Linked DNA regions of Arabidopsis thaliana. The protein of the gene in region 1 interacts with the protein of each later gene in a biochemical or structural test. Each region holds a gene or a part of one and is shown in the gene's direction. Other genes may lie near its edges. The genes, in order: ARAC5 and SCN1.

Region 1 (10,996 bases):
AAGTCTTCTGACACGATTTGTTTTGGCTTCATCAAACAAAAATCAATAGATAAGAGGTTCACGGCGTTTTAAATTTAACGGTGTAGAGATGCATCTCTTCTTTAACATTGACAGATCTTTATCTAAACGGCGTTGATCTGACCGTTATAAATGCTATAGACAGGACATAACGTTACGTTCCCTAGAGCCTGTGGTTTCTTCTTTCTTTCTTCTGTCGCCGTCTTGTCAACGGCACCAGTTATATAATCCGACGGCGTTTATAGCATCGTCGTCACGTGATGGGGAGAAAAGAGGAATAAGAAGACAAGGAGAGAAGTAAATGGGCTTTAATTAGAAGTAGGGCCTATTTTTCTAATTGGCCCGTATAGAAAGTCTGTCTGTGTCCTTTTCCTAAAGAGACAAATTTGCCCCTTGTGGTTTTTTTGGCTTTAACTTCCAAGTCAACGCTCTTTCTTGTATTTTGTCTTCTCACTTCTCGTTCATTCATACACTCCACTCACCGGTCTGTCACCATACAGACCTTCTGCTTCAAGGTCCCCACGCTCTATGTTCATATTTTACCTTTGTTTCGTTCGTGTGACTCTCTTGAAAACATTAGGGATTTATTCACTTCGGTCCATTTAAGATTTGATCGTGATTAGTCCAAAGTCCAAACCGATCAAATTAATAGCAACTGCCGATACCAAATTATATTCGTTTTGTAATCGGTGATTCAGAAAAAAGTTCAATGTATATAAATTCGTTCGTAGTGTTGATATTAGGACAAATCACTAGTTTGAAACTAAAGATACTAAAAACTATTTAATGTTTGAAGTTTTAGGTTTAGTTGTTAATACTTTTGGCTGAAAACGTGTCAATTTTGTTGTTAATGATGGCAAAACGAATAGCAAAATATTCCTAATGAATTAGGCCGAATGATATGATTAATATGCTTAACTTACATAAGTGAATCTTTCTTAATTATAAGTAAGCACCTTAAAGCAGTTTTTACAAGATCGATTCTGCCACAATCAAAATCGATTCTATCAACAATCTAACAATAAAATAATAATAGTTGTGAATTAATGGTCTGCCGTTATACAAGCACTATGGTTCTTGGCGAATATATCTTCATCCCGCTAACAATTTTTTTAGTTTGATAGAAAAATATATCAGGTGCTTTAGCAACAAAAAGGGATTTTAATCTTTAAAGAAATCTATACACTTGGGGTTGACATACACTTGGGGACCAATGTTCTATTATTATTGCGGTATATTGGTATAAAGGTCCTTCCTAAATGGCAGCGAATTTCTCATATTAATAATCTTTTGTGCATTCTCTTTTAGATATTATCTTATGATATACATTAGATTAAGAAGTAAACGCTGAAAAATATGCATACTTAGCAACAAATAAATGTGCTTTTTTCTCGTGTCTATTTGGTTTAACTTAAGTGGATTGAGAATCAGATCAACAGGTACAAGTGCAACCTTTAAAACAATGAGATGTCAATTAGTGATGAAGAAGAGAGCATCTCTTATGTGATTCGCTGAAAATGCTCTAACTCAATGAACTTTGGGAATAAAGGTTTAGGTTCTCTTCAGCAGAAAAGGAGCTCTTTTTAGTAAGTGGGAAATTTTATTATTGTAAAAAAGAATCTCTAAACTTTGGATTATTTTCTGATGTAAATAGTATAATATACATATAGGAGAATAATATAACGACATATAGCAACGATGGAAAATTTATCACCAAAAATCATGTCATCTTTATCACTAAATGACTCAAGGGTGAAAGAACTTTGGACCAATTTCTAGATGGATATCAATAAATTTGTTGAAATTAAATTATACGAAAGGGAATTAAACTGTAGAAGCTTGGTTCACATGTTTGATTTTCACAAAAATGTTTCGATTTGAACTTGCCATAGTACAATTTGCAACATATGCTTCTTTTACTCTGTTGTTTGCGTTATAATAAAATCGTCTCAAAATATTTAAAAATCATATGCAATTTGATTTAAGAATAAATTTGGAACTGTTTAGAAAGTTAGGTACCCAATTCATATACTTATTAAATACAATAAATAAATCATAAAGTTTTATATACAGATGCACCAATTGTTTATAGATTATCTGTATACACAATTACACACTCTACTAATCAATGTACTTTAGCATAGAATAATACTTTTACTTCTACTAAGCTTGTTTCACTAATTATAATGTTTAGTTAGAGATAAAACCATTGAAAAATCTCAAAAAGTAATAATCAATATAAACAAATAGAGAGAGCAATGATAATAATAAGATATATAGGTCATAGTCTTGTCAATCATGTTAATGATAAAAACGACAAGGCTACAAAAGTAGTAGTAGAAGTAGAAGAAGAAGATGATGATAGTGAAGACAAACTTGTGTCATAAGTGGTCTTACACAAATCCGTCTTGGAAACTGGTGTTTGCCTAATGGCCCTGCTGGGCTTTTGCTTCAGTCATTACCGAATCCTCTTGTATTGGCAGCTTTAATCCCAAATCTATTCAACTCATGCAATGATTTTGGACGAAGAAACTTCTCAATCCCAAATGACCCTTACTTCACCTTTCACTTTTTGTTCCATCGTAAAGATTTGAAACTTTTTAGATCTTATGAAAAGGCACCACATCTTCATCAAGTATTTTCTTTAAAATGTAGGGGAAAAAAAAATCTAGTTCTTTTGTTCATAGTCAACCTGGACCAGTAGGTCGTTGGGCCTTGGGTCTTCAGTCACGTCGGCAATCAACATTCACTTACCCATTTGAAACATTGGATCAGCGTGACCAATGCCAACCCATTAATCTAAATGGTTTAAACAATCAAGCGTGCAAGGATAAATGCATTGGACTTGAGAGAACAAGATATGGAATTTGAAATGTTGCCTTACCAGTTAACAAGTGTCTCTGTTTCCTCCCAAGTTAATGTACCAAAACTCTTTGGTGCTTAATTGTGGGGGCTTTTATAATATTGGGTACATTTTGGGCCATAAATTAGAGAAAGAGCACATTATGATTGAGTTTATGAAGATAGGCAGTTTTTGGGAAATAAATTGACGAAATTGCCCCTGCGATTTCACTCATTCTCCTAAATTGTTTTTGCAGAATCTTTTCCTGAATTGTTTTTGCAGAGCCTCATATTGGATCGATTCCTAACTTGTTTCAATGGATGATGTATTAAGTACAGAGATTGATTATCCTATTTCTCTACTTAATCAATGTTTCTTTCTACAAGACAATATATACACAAAAGATGTATTTACGGAAACAAAATCGATAGAGACAAAAATTAGAAAATCTGTTAATAACATTTCATCACCATCCAATTCAGATAAACCCCAATAAAATCAGTTAAAAGCTTTTTGATGGAAGAAAGCTAACCCCTAAGAAAATATTATATAACGAACCCAAATATACTAATCTTAAATAATTGGAATCGATTAAAATTTTCAATTATTTCTTATCCCTCTTTGAAATTGAAGAAAGAGAGGATGAAATTAATTCAGATCAAACAATTCAAATTCAAAAAAGCTATGGAGGATTACCACCTGCATCGTCGAGGAAGAAGATTGGCCAGGCATAGATCTGAATTTTGTAAGGTGATGGAGAAGCAATGGACATCAATGGTGAGTTTAGAGGCAATAGATTCCATGCCATTAGAGAAAGAGAAAGAGAGAGAAATAATCGCACATTTCTGAGATCGATTGATATTGATGAATTCTCCTCAATTAGATTGAAGGTACAAGGAGAAGAAACTCAATTAGATTGAAGGATAAAACAGTCATCCATATAATATAAAAGTATCTAAATTTGTAAGGAACATGAGATGTTCCTATATCTACAAAAGCACAGACTTTAATATGCTAATCCCATAATTGATCCCTTAATTGTGTGTGTATTCAAAATAAGCCCACTTCTTATAGGCAATGTAACACTTGACTCAAAAGCCAAAGCAGCCACTTAAATAGTTAAGTTACATTAAACAGAGAAGCAGCCTTCCCTAAGTTAAGCATTCTTAATCTAACCAAATATAATTCATATCTAACAATGTTAACTTCTCTTTCTATTCTTAATAATAACCTAACAAATTAACTTGGGTGGTGTACTATTCTGAGTTTGTTACTTGTCTTGTCCATGCACGGCTAGTGCTGGTGCTGTCTTAGAAGGGCTTGAAGGTACGTGGCTGTTGATACAGAAAATGTTTAAAGAGGAGACAAGTCTTTGTCAAAGTTTGCGGATGACGGCTATGAAATCGAAAACGAATTTTCTTTCAGTTTTTCTTAAAAATTTTTTTTTACCTTAAAACAATAAGTTAAATAAATAAAATTAAATCGGATTTATCTTCTCGGTCGTCCGAAAATGGCAGAGTTGAATCCAAGAAGTTTTGTGTGGGAGTTGAGGTGGGAACTACGAAATTAAATATAATCTATGCGCTATTTTACAAATTTGTTAGTCCAAATCCACTATGTTGCTAATATTTAATTACATGTTTAGATCCTAATTAGTTTGATGATTATATAATCAATACCAAAGAAAGTGAAGAAATAACCTAATTTATCAACTTGCCAGCTAGTGAAGTAGCTCCTTGGAGGTTTCAGTAAAAAATAATAAAAGTCGATAAAAAAATACTACCCAACTTCATGGTTTATTATTAAATGCGATGTGGTCGAGACAAAGTACCACTTGAGTACCGTACTAGGATATGCTCAACATATTTAAAATTTTGACCAAGTCAAATTAACCAGCCAGAGATGTTAACAGTTAATGTAGTAGCCACCGGTCCAATGAAATTGCAAATGAACAAACGTAGCACCTGAAAACTCGCCACCGATCACGATCAGCACACTTTTTATGAATTGGTCAAGATATTATCTTCTATCATTAGATGAATACTTGCATGTTAGTATTCTCTACTATCAGACGGTGTGTATTTTTTTATTTATAGGGTTGAACGCTTTATTGTCCCATGCACACGTAAAAGTCGACCTCCCCATCATTTTTTCACTATAAATAGTGGTTGATTTCAAGCAGATTTCTTCAAACTAAAACATATATACATCGAAAACAACTAAGTATAAACAATAGTCATGGCTAAGTCTGCTACCATCGTTACTCTTTTCTTCGCTGCTCTTGTTTTCTTTGCTGCTCTTGGTGAGTAATGATGTTATCGTATACCATATGCATGGAAAATTGAGTTTTAACCTTTTTTCTTTCATTTTATTGTGATAATTAACTGTGAGAGATATATCTATATGCAGAAGCACCGATGGTGGTGGAAGCACAGAAGTTGTGCGAGAGGCCAAGTGGGACATGGTCCGGAGTTTGCGGAAACAGTAACGCGTGCAAGAATCAGTGCATTAACCTTGAGAAAGCACGACATGGATCTTGCAACTATGTCTTCCCAGCTCACAAATGTATCTGCTACTTCCCATGTTAATCTACCAAGAGCTCTTAATGCTTAATTATAAAGTGTGTATTTCTATTAAATAAGTATGTGTCACTCTATGAGAGGTCTTATGACATGTACCAGATATGTTATGTTGCTTTGTTTTAATAAGATAAACTTTTACGTACGACGTATACTACTGTTTCTTCTTGTCCATATTTGTCTGCAAAACTCCAACACAACACAAACGATTATTTGAAAATAGAGAATCGGAGGAATATGTTATAGTATTTCATAAAAACTGCTTATAATAAAGAGTATTCAGCTTATACATAAAAGAGAGCTAGCTACATAACACAATCTCCGACTTAATTATATACCAAAGAGATTTACCTAGCTAATTCAACTTTAAAAAACGAGGTCTTGTGTTGACATCTTTGAATTTTTATTTATTGTACTTAGGCTCGGCTACAATGTAAAAAACAGGCGGTTTCGGAGAAGAATACCAAATGTATGTTTCCACCAAAATTATGTCAATTTACAAGACTGATATCTAGAATGTTCATGCTGATCAGCTAGTTATGTGGTTATTCAAAAAATATCTATAGATATCCCAATTCCAAGATTTGTAAATTATGTTAATATAAACAAAACTGTTACTTCTATGGAGTTTGAACCAGCGTGGCAAAAATTTCCTGCACCCATATTAATATTAAATTATCTCAAGCTAGTATCTGATGTTAGATTTGTACTGTGTATCACACTGTACGTATGCTTGCTTACTTATTACTCTATTACAACAGATATTTGTGTGTTTTCATTGTTAAATAATGTAACAGAAATTTGTGGGTTTGACTGTTCTTTTTACTGAATTTCTCACTACTTGAAGTCTAACTAGAATAACATGTGACTGTTTTATAATTTATAGTTCGAGGTTGATTCAGAAAAGTCGTAAAAATCTCTCATAAATGTATTACCGTATGGCTCTATATTGCATATATGGGCCCAATGTCTCAAGTCTCAACCATGTTTTAAATTTTCAGTACTAAGCAATGCATATGTTTTTGTTAGACACAATTTTTCTTCTTTTTTTGATAAAATGTGAGTTTTTTTTTTTTTTTGAAATGTGATTAATTACCAAAATGGAAACATTGTTACTTGCAAAAATCTTTGGGACAAATAGCTTCTAAGACAATTTGTTTTTTAAAAAGCCTCAGAAACTAATAAACGCAAAGATTACAAATAGAGAACTATTACGAGCTAGGCATGGGAAAACCATTGAGAGAGCAGTCACCGCGGCCTTTGCGGTACCTTCGAGCCAGGAGAGTGTCTCTAATTAATGTGCTCCTGTCGATTTGCTTAAAGACAGAGGCAAATCTGTTATGGAGACTGTTTGTACTTGTCAAACTATGGGCCATCAGTCGACCGCAGCCATTGTTAGACACAATTAACTATGTGCGCCATCTATTATGGAGACTGTTTCCACTTGTCAAACTTTAGCACTATGCCTTTAAAGCTTTAACAAATGTTGAATGACTGAGAAACCGACAAACTTTAGTCTACTACATCTTATCTATATACTAATTACGCAACAAAAAAATAAAAAAAAATTGGATAATGTTTTAAAACATAACATATTTTACTCTTCTTCTATGACAGATGAATTACTACATTCCAAAATAAACAAGTAAAAACTCTTGTTTCGTGGATAAGCATGCACTAGGCAGTCAATTCATTTGGAGTCTCACCAAACCAAGTACCCCATGGGCCCTGGTGGCAAAAATGGTCACTAATCATGATATTTCAAGAGTTGTCATAATGGGCCTTAATTCGCTACTGGGCCTCAAGTGTGAGCCTTCGTGTTATTGTCTTTTCTAGCTTCCAGTTGTGTTAGTGTGTTTGTGCCTTTGTGTTATGGCCCTTATGGCACTCCATATTGTCACTTGAATCACTAATGTAAAGTTTATTCATTTTCAAATAAGTCGCTTTAAATAGAAGCACTAGATTTCATGATCAATCATTATCAAATTTCTTATAAAAAAAATCATAAAGCCTGAAATTCATTTCATGTAAGAATCAGAATGAATGGGTAAAGGTGTTTTTGGTTGAGAGTAGGTAGAAGCGTAGAGCTAACTCTAACCCCTTCTTTAGTTTGGTATGATTGAATATTAGTTCATATAAATATAATTGGTGAAATTTTGATGTGTCCTTGGTCCTTTAGAAGCAAACTGTAATAATGCGACCGTATGATTTGGATAAATCTAATGTGGGACAATTCATGATGTGTCGTATGCTCATTGGTAGGTTGAAAGAGAGTTGAGCACGTTCGTGTAAGATTTTTCGATTCTTATGTCGTAAAGATGAAGAAAACTCTTTAAAATTACAACTATAAAAACAAAGACAAAGACACTCTTGACAAAATTAAACCATATTAATTTGATAAGGGATTTGAGAAAAAGGAATGAAATGGTGCCGTAACACTAAGTCGCACGTTCTTGACGAGAGTCGTCCCAATCCAATGATTAATATTTGGCAATTTCATGCCCTCCCTCCCCATAGTTTGGTCGTTTATTATGCTTTACTCTTAGTTTTTTTTCTTAAAAATTATAATCTTTATTTATTTGCTGTCTTTTTTTTTTATAATTGTCAATTAGGTTAACAACTATGGTCAAATTAGAAAACATTAGTTTTTGTTAAAAGAAAATTAAAAAAAAAATCCATGTTTATTAGTGAATTAGGTTTTTATTTTGGTGGTAGTTTAGCTAATCTCATAAAACAGATAGTAATTTCATAATGTAAAAAGATATTTCTACTATACAGAAAAGGAAAAGAAAAAAAAAAACTCATTACAACGGATAATTTCTCAATTTGTATTCAAATTCAAAATTAAAAGTGCTCAAAATTAGTATTATTTAAAAGAAATACTAAAGTGGGGTGAGTGTAAATGATAAGGTGTTGTTTGGTGTAGCAAATAGCTGGCATAAGGTTGGTATTGAAAAGCTCATCTCAGAATCATCAACGGCCCAAAACACATTGCAAATTAAAGAAAAAGCAAAGATTTTCCTCATTCTTTTGCCATTATTATCTCTCATCGATTTGGCTTGCTACTTTTGAATTTACCCGTGTTCTACTACGATTCGGGATTAGGGTTTTTTCTTGAGTTAGAAAAGATTGTTTCTTGATTCTTGGGAATGGCTGGGATTTGAGGAAGAAGAAGTGCAAAAGGGTTCTTTTTTTGAGTTTGTGAATTTGCTGCGGAGATGAGTGCTTCGAGGTTTATAAAGTGTGTCACCGTCGGCGATGGTGCCGTCGGAAAAACTTGTATGCTGATTTCTTACACAAGCAACACTTTCCCTACGGTAAAGTTTCTTCCTTTTGCTCTCAGTAGTGATCTTGAAGCATTCTTTGAAAATGGGTTTTTGGAGATTATTCATCTTTGTTCTTGAATGTGATTGATTAGCTGGTAAAAATTGTAAAAATCAATTCTTGACATGTTTCTTCAGAACTTTTATTGATGCTTCCATGGATTTAGCTTCTTTGTTATTTATCTTTACCTATGAGCATTGTTCTTCTTTCATTTTGGACTTCATGTTCAATTTGTATGTATTAGTCAAATTTGCAGATATGAGGATCTATAATCTTTTCCATTATTGTGTGTGTTAATGATGATCCACTATTGTGTGTGTTTTAGTTTAACAAACTCTATGACTTGGTTACTGAATATCAGGACTATGTTCCAACTGTTTTCGACAACTTCAGTGCTAATGTGGTTGTAGATGGGAACACGGTGAATCTTGGATTGTGGGATACAGCTGGTAAATAATCCTTTTGAAACTCATCAAATCTGGTTTTCTTGTTTTTTTGTGGTTTCATTTTGACTGATAATTCTTGGGTTTGTGCAGGTCAAGAAGACTATAACAGGTTAAGACCGTTGAGTTACCGTGGTGCCGATGTCTTCATTCTTGCATTCTCGCTTATTAGCAAAGCTAGCTACGAGAATGTAGCCAAGAAGGTTAGCTTTTTGTTGATCTAACGTCTTTCATTTGATAGTAATAACTTTCGTTAAGCTGATTTTGAATTGGTTCCTTCATTTGCTTTTTTTTTTTTTTTTTTCTTTATTTCAGTGGATTCCTGAGCTTAGGCATTATGCCCCTGGTGTTCCTATAATCCTCGTTGGAACGAAACTCGGTATTGACTCTCTTCTTGTCTAAAAACTCTTTCCTTATAATAAGAAAGAGATGAATAATAATTCAAGTTTTGGAATTTGCAGATCTTCGAGATGACAAGCAATTCTTCATAGACCATCCTGGTGCAGTGCCTATTACTACAAACCAGGTACATAACTCCACAATTCTTTAAAACAATAGTGTTTTTTGCTTTGCGAGTTCTTGATCTTTAGTTGTTTGTCTGCAGGGAGAGGAACTAAAGAAACTGATAGGATCACCAATCTACATTGAATGTAGTTCAAAGACTCAGCAGGTATACTACACACATAAATAATATCTCACATGTCTTTTTGTTTGGGATTTTTGTATTTGGTAAGACAGTGAAAATGTTGATTGTTGGGTTTTGCAGAATGTGAAAGCAGTCTTTGACGCAGCCATAAAAGTGGTGCTTCAGCCACCGAAACAGAAGAAGAAGAAAAAGAACAAGAACCGCTGCGTGTTCTTGTGATCGAACATCTCTTAAAACGAAAAAAGGTTTAGGTAACAAAAGAAGCTGAAGGAAAACGAACACCTGCAACATTGTATAGTTGTTGAATCCGGCTTGTTTCGGTCTTTACTCTTCTTTTTGCTGGTGAATCTAATGAGTGAACTGAGGCCAAGAGGAGGATTCTGGGTAAGAGAAGGGGATGTGTTCTTTTCTTGGTGTGTTGTTGTTGTTGTTGTACTTTTGCTATGTAGACTAATCTCTTAATACTATGTTGTCTTTGTTTTTGCTGTTGGGGTCCATTTTGTATTTTCTTTAACAGAAATCTTAATTAATTTTTTAGTGACTTTTTTTAAGCTTCCGTTGATCTTATGGTCTTGTATTGGTATGTAATTAGATTCAGACAACGAAGAACATCTTGAGATAGATCTCTATATACAATAAGATTAGAGACATCGTTGAATTGAGGCATAGTTTCAAAGAATGGTTTACAGAAACGAGGATTCTATACACACAGGTGAGGTGAGTATAAGGAACAAAGAAAATAACAATTACAAAGGTTTTCTCCATTTTGTAATAAGACCGAAAAGAAAACAAACATGTGTAGTGTACACTTCCTTTTCAGAGTTTCCAACATTTCTTTGGAAAATACAGAGAATTCCTCTCGGGATTTGATGAGGCTTGTGTCTCGGATTTAAGTCACAGCTTGATAGGGTCATATTTCTCACCCATCAAACCACCTTTCTGTTTTATGAACTTAATGTAACGCAATGTACTTGTAAAGAAGGGATCTGAGTGGATTGTCGTGTTACCGTTGTCGCTTTGCATCTCATTGTTGATCAATTCTATGAGGCTCTGTATATCAGATGGAGTGATATGTGGATTCCCTTTCTCAAAGAAGTAAATGTACCTGTTGTATATGAAAAAAACATTTTTAGTATTGAGATGC
Region 2 (10,757 bases), on another chromosome or scaffold:
ACCCTAAACCCTACGGAATGGAGAGCGGCGATTACGATGTTGAGACGAAAAGAGAGAAGCTTAAATCGGTTCTCTCTCAGCTCCTTGCTGATCCGATTCTCGCCGACGTTCCGAGGAATCCAACACTTTCTGATGTCGTCACTCTTGTCAGCCTTGAGAAGGGAAGCGCTATGCGTCTCTCCGTCGTCAAGCTCGACGGCTCCTCCCTTGGTACATATATACTTCGTTTGGGCATTATGTCGAACAAGTGGTGTGCAGCATTGTAAAATTACATGGGTTTCTTACTTGTTTGCTTCCTCATTGCAGATGTGGCGGTCATGAATTCAGCTACTTTGAAAGATCTGAAGCTTTTGATCAAGAAGAAAGTTAACGAAATGGAGCAAGCAAACATGGGTCATCGCCATATTTCTTGGTAAATAGCTTCTCTCAAGTAACATTTATGAATACAGTAAAATTGTTTAATAGAGGAGTTTTTGGGAATATGCAGGAAGCATGTATGGTCAAACTTCTGTCTTTCGTGTAATAATGAGAAGTTGCTTGACGATAATGCTGTTCTTCAGGATGTTGGAATCCGGAACAATTCTCAGGTTAAACACCTCTGTATAATCCAATCTCAATTAAGAGTTAATTGGGTTATGATTCAACTCTTTTGACATGTATGTTGTGTGTCATGAATACAGGTGACTTTCATGCCATATGTGATGAAGAAGGGTCGAGGAAGACACTCCAAGAGGAAGAAGCATCGTCTCTTTCGTTCTCTCCACAAGACTTCTTCTTGAAGCCTTTTTATAATTTGGTAACCAAAACCAGTCTCTCAGCTTTATTCACATGTTAGATAGCATTGGTAGGTTTGATTCGACTAAACTTAGGTATATCACTCAACACTTGAGCTAAGAACCCTGAGACATGGCAGGATATCAAATCATTATATACTTGTCAAGAATGACTTGGGGTTTTACTTAAGTATTGATCAAATGATTTGAGACATTAGGTCTGATATGTTTTCGAAACTAAGTTAAGATTCCCAGTGATGAACATTTTAGTAATCTGGAACGGTGATAAAATGGGGCTCCCTCTTGGATTATTTCCGTGGAGGTTTTAGAGGAACCATTGTTGAAGATACTTGGCAACTTCTGAGGGTCTCTTCGCAAAATGAAATCTGTTATTTTTCTTACTGTTTTGTTGGGATTCTGAAACATTGCACTACACGCTGATTTCACTTTTTTCCATTCATCATTGCTACTTTTGTTACTATCACAAGTGGTGAATTTTGATCAGGTTGGAGTGGACAAAGTCGTCTCAGCACGGATGAAATCAAAACTAACAGATTCCGTCTGTGGTTTATCCCACCTTGGAATACACCAGCAGCACAACACGCAGCAGCAACTACTTGTGAATTCTGTGATAGACTTGTGGGAGTTGGTTTATCACAAGTAGTCAGCTTAGGATTGATCTTTAATAGACTTGTGGGAGTTGGTTTAGCTATATTTGTATTCATCCGGTTCAGTGTATAAGCAGTAAAATTATTGGTGGCAATGTGAATAACAGAGCAGAAAACTGCTAATATTTTCATTATTAAATAAAACAGGAAACCGAAAGGAATTTGAGCTTCAATACATTTTTTTACTTTAGAAAATGTCTTGCAGCTGAAGAAGGTTTTGTAGCTGAGTCCCAACTATTCTTGTCCAGAGCGCAATGCCGACGTATGCGTGTTCTCAGCTATTGGTAATACAAAGGTTATTACTTTAACAAGTTTTAAATTTTGCAAGGGGCACGGTAATATCTCAAAGTCAACACATAAACAATAGACATCTCTTCTTAAATTGCTAACATAACATATATGATTTGAACATAGATGGGCCTACGAAAATGTCTTTGCTCCGATGCTAAATCATATAATTTACAGCCTAAAGTATTGGTATCTAGTGTTTGGAAAAACCAAAGTGGTGGGAAACTTGTGCACCTCTTACTAAAATGTTATTACTTTTTAGCTTTTGAAAGAACACACACGGCACAACTGCCCCCACCCACCATTTCTTTTAGTTTTTACATACTTAGATCTATTATCTATTGATTAAAAAGTCACTTGGCATCGATTTGATACATTAAAGTCTTGGAAATTTTCGATTCAAATCTATATGTTTGCGGTGTGCCATCATATCGTTAAAATGTAGACAAATAAATTTACTGTAATAAATGATCAAAGTATTTAGATTTTTTAATGATTGACAAAAAAAAAATTAGAATTTTTACTTATAAATCTCTTGATCCAAACTCTTCATCTAACTGATGTTTACACACTAATTATGACTGAAACCCATCAACACAAATAGAGACATATAGAGAAAAGTCTAATATGATCTACATTACAAACAAACAATGCAACTCTAATTAAGAAAAAGGCCTTTTGTTTTTCGAAAATAAAAAAAAGAACTGAACTAAAAATAAATTTGAAAGTGTACAAATTTATAAAACAGAAGGTAAAGAACTAAATATAGTTGTATACTATTAACGACCAAAAGTAATAATTAGATTTTAAACAACTTAGATTAAAAAAAAAAAAAAAAAAGTAAAAGGAAAGAGAGGACTTTTGCATGAGTTGGCAACTTCTTTTTTTTGTTTTTATTATTAAAGTCTTAAGAAAACTAATTATTTAATTAAATGTTGCTCTGTCATCATCACACTTTTTATTGTTTGGTTTTGTATTCTTCCCCCATTTTCTTTATTCTCTTTTGACAAATATGCAATTTCCAATCTCATCCTACGGTCTAGATCTCTCCAATCATCATCCTTCTTCTTCCAATATTCACTTTAAAATAAAAATAAAATTTAGAGATAATAATTTCCACGAAAGAATTATTATTATTATGTGATGCCTATTCAACGTACCCTCCCTTTTTTCCTCCATCATCTTCTTCTTCTTCTTCTTCTTCTTCTCCTCTCTCTCTCTCCATCTCGATATCAAAAACTCTTGCTTCTGATTCTCTTCATTCATGGCTTCAGAGAAGAGTTTCAAGAAGAGAAAGATCACCGATGATGTAGACGGAGTAGGAGTAGGAGGAGGACTAGAATCCCTTCCCGAAGATATCATCGCCGACATATTCTCTCGCCTACCAATCTCCTCCATAGCTCGGCTTATGTTCGTTTGCAGATCTTGGAGATCTGTTTTGACTCAACACGGTCGTCTCTCTTCTTCTTCTTCTTCCCCGACAAAGCCATGTCTTCTCCTTCACTGCGATTCGCCAATACGCAACGGTCTTCACTTCCTCGACCTATCAGAAGAAGAGAAACGCATCAAGACCAAGAAATTCACATTAAGATTCGCATCTTCCATGCCGGAGTTTGACGTGGTAGGCTCTTGTAACGGTTTGCTCTGTTTGTCTGATTCTCTCTACAACGATTCACTCTACCTTTACAATCCTTTTACTACAAACTCCTTAGAGCTTCCCGAATGTTCCAACAAGTACCACGACCAAGAACTTGTCTTCGGTTTTGGATTCCATGAGATGACAAAGGAATACAAAGTTTTGAAGATAGTTTACTTCAGAGGTAGTAGTAGTAACAATAACGGTATTTACAGAGGTCGTGGTAGAATCCAGTACAAGCAATCAGAGGTTCAGATCTTAACCTTGTCATCAAAAACAACAGATCAATCTTTGTCCTGGAGAAGCTTAGGCAAAGCTCCTTATAAGTTTGTGAAACGTTCATCGGAGGCTTTGGTCAACGGGAGGTTACATTTTGTGACAAGGCCTCGTAGGCACGTGCCGGATCGTAAGTTTGTATCATTTGATCTTGAAGATGAAGAGTTTAAAGAGATTCCTAAACCAGACTGTGGTGGTCTAAACCGGACCAACCATAGACTAGTGAACCTTAAAGGGTGTCTTTGCGCGGTCGTTTATGGTAACTATGGAAAATTAGACATATGGGTTATGAAGACTTATGGAGTCAAAGAATCATGGGGAAAAGAGTATAGCATTGGGACTTACTTGCCAAAGGGGCTAAAGCAAAATCTGGACCGACCAATGTGGATTTGGAAGAACGCTGAGAATGGTAAAGTGGTTCGGGTTTTATGTTTGTTGGAGAATGGAGAGATCTTGTTGGAGTATAAGAGTAGGGTTCTTGTGGCATATGATCCAAAATTGGGTAAATTTAAAGATCTTCTTTTCCATGGGTTGCCTAATTGGTTTCACACTGTTGTTCATGCTGGAACATTGTCTTGGTTTGATACACCCCTTGATTTATGGTAAAATAATTAAAGTTTTGAATTTTTATTACATTTAGAGTTTTGAGATTTGGGTACATCTTCTTGCCCCCTTTACATACCAACTAAGTACATTCTTTTGTACGTAATGGGTAGATTAAGGTGTATTTCTTTTCAAGTTCTTGTTTCGTTTCTGTTGAATTTATAGGTTCCTTTTCATGTCTTCGGTAAATGTAAATATAATTTCTAAGTGTTAGCGGTAAATGTTTCCGGTAATTTGGTTCTACACTATAAACTATTACTTATTGTTTGGGACTAACCCACGATCGTGCCATTTGATTTTATTGCTTTATTATTGTATGTTATTATGTTTTGACATGCTCGATCACCAAGCAATGCAGAAAAAAAAATAAAAAAATCTTGTAGAATATTCTTTAGATCTATAGAATTCATATAACAAGATATTAGATGACGACGATAAAGCAAACTTTAAAGATATATCATAAAAAAAAAAGAGGCTTTCGCAAATCACGCAAATCATATAGTTTTCACTAAAAAGAAAAATTTGTGTATTAATAACTAAACGATCTTCGATCTAAATATTAAACCCATGTGGAAAGATTCCCTATCGCCTGAAAATAAAATGAAAACTCTATTCATCGGAAGATCTAATCATAATAATATCTTACTAAATATATAAACATCTATATAAAACTTGAAGTATATGCATTTTTCGTGGTCTCGGAATTATAACATTTTTGTACATGATCATGATGGCGAACGTAATTGGGTCTATAAAGTTACAATGTGAACGACCAGAAATAATATCGACTGACTCGACAACTGCAAGGCCAAATGGCCGTTTATTCTAGGTTACCGCGATACCTCTGGAGTATACTGTATACGTTCTCTCTAAATTCTGGCTTTTTTTTGGGTGAATTTAAAATGGAATCACTTCACCAATATGTACATGGGTCAACTCCAAAACTGAAGACGACGAAGAGAAGCGGAAGACCGCAAGAATGCCAATCAACATCACAAATTGTTTATCGTCTTCTCTCTTCTCTTCCATTCCACTTATTTTCAGAATTTATCTTCAATATTTTCAAATTACATCAATAGAGTCATGTAGTGAAATAGATATGCCGTCCGGCACTATAATGCTAATTAGCAACAACTGTTTTATTTATTTTTCATGTCATGAGTTTGACTATCTTATTTCATGAATCTATAAAACGAATTAGGTTTTGGTACGGTGTCGTGTGGACAGTAACCTAATGCATGTTGACTAATATGGGATTAATTAATACATGTGTAACGTAGAAAATGCTTTCCCAAAAAAACTAGCATATGACTTTGGAAAGGCATTGTCAATACTTCTATAGCGTACATGACTTCGGAGTTTCGAGTCTATATAGGAAATAACACTAGTGAGAGAATTTGTTATGGAAAAAATCAGTGTGTGATGTTGAGATAGGAGTTAAAACAATCAAAAGTGACATAATCTATATAGACATAATCACGTGATTATAACTTTATAAGCAAAACGGGATAGGTTTTGCATGTCTAGGTAGCACCTATTGTTTGATTGGTGGCAATAAATTCCATATGTTTTAAAATTGAAACACAAAAAAAGGGGCAGAAGCATATGCCCTTGTTTGTCTCATGTTAGGTTGGATCCCAAAATCAGACCGGATAAAACCGGGATATATCATTAATGCAAGTAATAATGATTGAAGACGAGATTAGAGGACTAATTCCGTAATTACAAACAAATGATTTTATTGACAATTCAGTGATTATTAAAAATAAAAAACATAACAACATTAGTGGTCATTGTCGTTGTCGTGGCTCGAGGCTATCGTCTCTCCTATGCGCGTGGAAGAAATAGCAATTATGCTTTCTTTTGTATTTGATTATTATCCGTTAGTGACCCTCACGATCTCTTTCTCTCTCATATAACTCGGATCACCACATGACTTGATCTTCTTGCCGTTACCAAAACCAAAATCCCTAAATTTGCCCTCATTTCCCTCTGATTAGATCCCTTACCCCGACAAAGACACCAAAATTCTTGAGGGCGAGAGAGCTGATTGATGTCTTTGGTATCTGGAGCCAGGGACATGGGGTTCGACGACAACAACAACAACAAGAACAACAAGGATGGAGATGATGAGAACTCCTCCTCCAGAACAAGAGCCGACGACGATGCTCTTAGTCGACAGATGAGCGAATCTTCTCTTTGTGCTACCGAGGAGGAAGAAGACGACGATTCCAAATTGCAATTGGGTCCTCAGTACACTATCAAAGAACATCTCGAGAAGGACAAGGTTTCTCCTTTTTGCTTCTTCTTCTTCTTCCTTCCACCCTATTTATTTGAATTACATTGTCAGATATTTGAAGAATTTGTTGTCGTTGAATCTGGGTCATGTAGGATGATGAGAGTCTGAGGAAATGGAAGGAACAGCTTCTCGGAAGTGTTGATGTCACCAACATTGGAGGTGTGTTTGTGTGTACCTCTTTGTTTCAATGATTATTTATGTTTTGATAATAAATGAGAAATTTTTAATCTTGGGAAATGATTTTGGCCATATTTGAGACCCTTGTTAGATCATACTAGTTGTTTCGTTTGATATATGATTCATGTGAGAGTATTTTTGATCTCTGGTTGGGCTTTGTTTACCTTCGAATGTATACAATTTTCTTTCCCATGATTCCGGAATTTGGTGTCTATGTTTATTTCTTTGCTTGATTTTCCATTTTTCTGAGTGCTACTGTAGAGATATCAACTTAAGATTGGAACATGTGTTTTTTGCATTTATGCATTTGTCACCTTATATCTCTTTTGATACGCAGAGACTCTTGATCCGGAAGTGAGGATTGATAGCCTCGCCATCATATCTCCTGGAAGACCCGACATTGTTCTCTTGGTTCCTGAGAATGGAAATCCAAAGGGCATGTGGTTTACTTTGAAAGAAGGGAGCAAGTACAACTTGAAATTCACTTTTCATGTTAACAACAACATTGTCTCTGGTCTTAGGTACACCAATACAGTTTGGAAGACCGGTGTCAAAGGTAAAACAATAGACCACAAGTTTGTTTTTAATTAATTGGTCCTCTCGATGGTTGAGAGACAATGTGATCCAATTCCTTTCTTTAATGGCTACAGTGGACAGAGCTAAGGAAATGCTTGGAACCTTTAGTCCTCAGTTGGAGCCATACAACCACGTGATGCCAGAAGAGACCACTCCTTCTGGCATGTTTGCTCGAGGATCATATTCTGCAAGAACTAAGGTTGGTTGTTGGTTTATGAACTTCATAATCTAGTTCTGTAATATTCAGTTCTTTGGTGTTGGTTTTAAAAAGTTACTCGACAATCTTGTTTCAGTTTCTTGATGATGATAATAAGTGCTACTTGGAGATCAACTACAGCTTTGACATCCGTAAAGAATGGCCTGCGCTTTGAAACTCGGAGAATGCGAGAGTTGTCTCCTGAGAGAGGATGTTGTCGGTAGAAGAAAGTTGTGTTTGTTTCACTCCATATCTCCGTTTATTTCGTTGAACATATAATTGTGAATCGTTTTCTGATCATCTTAGAACAAGAACGACATTTACTTCCTACATCCTTGATCTTGATTTTTCCAGTAATGTCGTTGGAAATCAGTATGTCTGTGTTTGTTCTCAACTCTGTTTCTCCTTCCACGTTAACATGTGTTTGATGATATGATTGTGTCAGATTCTGACATGTATAATGATTCTCAGTCCAGCTGAAAGTTAAAAAAAGAAGAAGGTTTTGCTTCACAGAAAATGCAGAGCCTTTCTTTATTCATAGATTTTATATGCCTTTAAAGAGAAGCCAACTATTTTTGAACGCATCTTACGACACCACCAAGTCTTTTTTGCTAATTCTAACCACTTTTAACAATTTTGATAAACCGTTAGTTATTTTTCTTTAACCGCCTCGTGTAAACATGATCACCATTCACCAATGGGGTTTGAATAAAGTGAAACGCGATCCTTGATACAACGTCGCTCTCATATGGTTGTGTGCATTTGTATGATTTTTATTGTGTTTTGGTTATTTAAATTTAGATTATGGAATTCATGGAGACTTCAAATTTGAACTTCCAATAGATTCCAAGTTTTTGTTTTTCTATGTTTATATAATGCCAAGTTCTTATCATCTTATCAACTTCTTTTAAGAATTCTATAAACTTTTTGTTTTGGAAAAATAGTATTGAGAAGAACAGTTGACAATTCATACTACAAACCAAACATTGATCTATAAAAACATGAAGATCACAATTGATATATGAAGAGGGGTAAAAAATGCAAAAGGCAAGTGACACCTCTTGGAATGTGAAGAAACTTGACATTTCCCATCTCAGAAATGGATCTTGGTTAATGTTTTGCTCTCAAAATAAACTTAAAAAATCCTATTTATATATACTTAGAAAAAAAGGAAAAAAAAAAAAAAACATCAAGAGGGATAAATAAACCATTGTTGGACTCCCTCGTTTGCACTTTTTGGCTCATCTTCTCCCAACAGTTCTTTTTTATTTATGTGCTCTTCCCACTTTCTTTAAGAGAGTTAAGTCTCCGAAGTCTCTGGTCAAGTTCTGCCATCACTGCTGGTTCCTGCTTCTTCCTCTGCTTTGATATCGTGTTGGTAGTCATTGATCCGATTTTCTCAAATGCCACCTGAAAACATTTGTTGATCGATAGTCAAGATTACGAAACTCGAATATATAAACTCGGTTTTCAGACTAGGGCAGGCATGGCTTACCGTTAATAATTCATCCGGGTCAAAAAGCTGGTGTGAAGTTTTCTGTAATATGTTGATAACATCGCCGACCTGGTGGGTCATAAGCAGCTCGTTCTCTTTCATCTGCAAATGACGAGAGATCCTTGAGATGAGATTCATCCAAGAAGAACAATTATGGAAAAGGCTGATCAGAGGAAGAGAAGTAAGAACCTTGAATATTGCTAAAGCTGCATGGAATAGAACCTTCGCTCCTTCATAGAAAAGTACATCCCACACCCTTAGAGTTGTCTGCAAACAAAACCAAAGTTCTCAGTATACATAAGAAAAGTAATCTTAAAAGACATATAATTGGACAAAAGGGTTTGTTTTTCTAAACACCTCTGAAGGAAGGCTTTTAGAGAAGAGGCATAGAAACCATTCAGTGGCTACAAGGGAAACATCAAAGCCCATATCTTCAAGATGAGTAGCTATTCTGCAAAAACAACAAAACATAACAAGAAATTGATAAGCTGGTGAAGCTCAGCGACAAGAACCAACGAAGAAAGAGAGACTTACCGAGAACATTTTTGGGCAAGCAAATCTTTGAAAACCCGCTGCTCAACATGACATCCAGATAAGTTGGTTGTGTAACAATCACGGACTAATACGTTTTCCAAAAGGACCGCTAGCATCCAGAATGCGTCTTCTTCTGTCTTCATGACAAGTAATAGTAACGCTGCAACGTAGTTTAGACCCTGTAACAAAAAACGACATTGATTAAGATACAAACTAATTTGAAATTGAGAAAATGGAGATGGGAAAAAAGGACAGGCATGTACCTGACAATAGCCAACATCTGAATCACGAAAGGAATACCCAACAAGCACACGTCGTAGAGCAGCATGACCTTCTGGAGTGTCCAACCATGGATGGCCTGGGAAAGTACGTGGCAGATCCTGCAAGAATAGACACACAATGTCAAGGGCAAATGATGAGAAGATCCGAGGAAGTTGCAGTATAAGATAATGGAATCAACAAATCTTGAATGACCATCAATCAAAGCAGACGAAAGGCTCTGCTATAAGTTGCCTCAACACAAGACTCAAGAACGGATCTAGAACAATCCTAAAACAAAGAATCAATGAAAAGCTAAAATTGCTCCTTAAATCACACAAATTACTTGCTCAGAGACACAATTTCAAGATCCAGGGGATGAAATCAAGTATTCATAGCACATAACATTATGAAGTAGCCTCCTATGACCATCATACAACACAGTAGAATAAGAGAAAGGGTTTTCAAAAGTAGGCTCTTAGTTGCAAACAGAGCACAAGGATCAACAACAGATCTACACCAACCCTTACACAAAGGATCAACGAAATTCAACCCTGAAAATACTAAGATTTGTGAAGAACATCAAACCCAATCAAAAAGGAAAAATTGAGCCTTTGGATTATAAATCAAACTCACATGATCAATCTGCCTCGTAGCCGGCGTGACCATCCCTTCGACGGCTTTGGTCAAATCACTATAATAACTCTCTGGGACGGTGGATTTCTTCTTAGCAGCACCAGAAAGAGAAAACCAAACCTTAGGTCTAAGCACAGGAGGGATCCCTTTCCGAATCAATCTCTTCAACGTAATCGCATTAGTCAAAGTGGAGAGCTTGAGAGAAGTTTTCAAAGCGATACCGTCACCGATCAAGAGAATCTCCGGCTGAAGATACCAATTAGCTCCTTTGCTAGCTTCAAGAGCCCACCAAACTCGTCCTTGATTCCTGACTTTCTCTCTAACCTCGTTCAACACATTAAC

The links.
Region 2: the proteins of ARAC5 (region 1) and SCN1 form a complex in vitro, tested with the Arabidopsis thaliana proteins (one study listed by BioGRID).

Annotation. Positions count from the first base shown.
Region 1 is NC_003070.9:28,467,307-28,478,302, forward strand, and holds ARAC5 (RAC-like GTP binding protein 5), read left to right. Parts: upstream 1-8,342; 5' UTR 8,343-8,657; coding exon 8,658-8,756; intron 8,757-9,124; coding exon 9,125-9,212; intron 9,213-9,299; coding exon 9,300-9,409; intron 9,410-9,521; coding exon 9,522-9,585; intron 9,586-9,667; coding exon 9,668-9,732; intron 9,733-9,810; coding exon 9,811-9,876; intron 9,877-9,972; coding exon 9,973-10,071; 3' UTR 10,072-10,496; downstream 10,497-10,996. Other genes in the region: LCR67 (low-molecular-weight cysteine-rich 67), read left to right, coding at 5,099-5,162, 5,270-5,448; VPS35B (VPS35 homolog B), read right to left, coding at 10,747-10,957. UniProt on the Arabidopsis thaliana protein: Involved in cell polarity control during the actin-dependent tip growth of root hairs, thus regulating root hair length and root hair initiation.
Region 2 is NC_003074.8:2,507,878-2,518,634, forward strand, and holds SCN1 (Immunoglobulin E-set superfamily protein), read left to right. Parts: upstream 1-6,047; 5' UTR 6,048-6,297; coding exon 6,298-6,531; intron 6,532-6,635; coding exon 6,636-6,702; intron 6,703-7,057; coding exon 7,058-7,276; intron 7,277-7,370; coding exon 7,371-7,495; intron 7,496-7,589; coding exon 7,590-7,667; 3' UTR 7,668-8,106; downstream 8,107-10,757. Other genes in the region: AT3G07860 (Ubiquitin-like superfamily protein), read left to right, coding at 18-210, 307-412, 488-587, 681-779; AT3G07870 (F-box and associated interaction domains-containing protein), read left to right, coding at 2,994-4,247; AT3G07890 (Ypt/Rab-GAP domain of gyp1p superfamily protein), read right to left, coding at 8,762-8,902, 8,988-9,089, 9,177-9,254, 9,345-9,438, 9,522-9,700, 9,785-9,901, 10,416-10,757.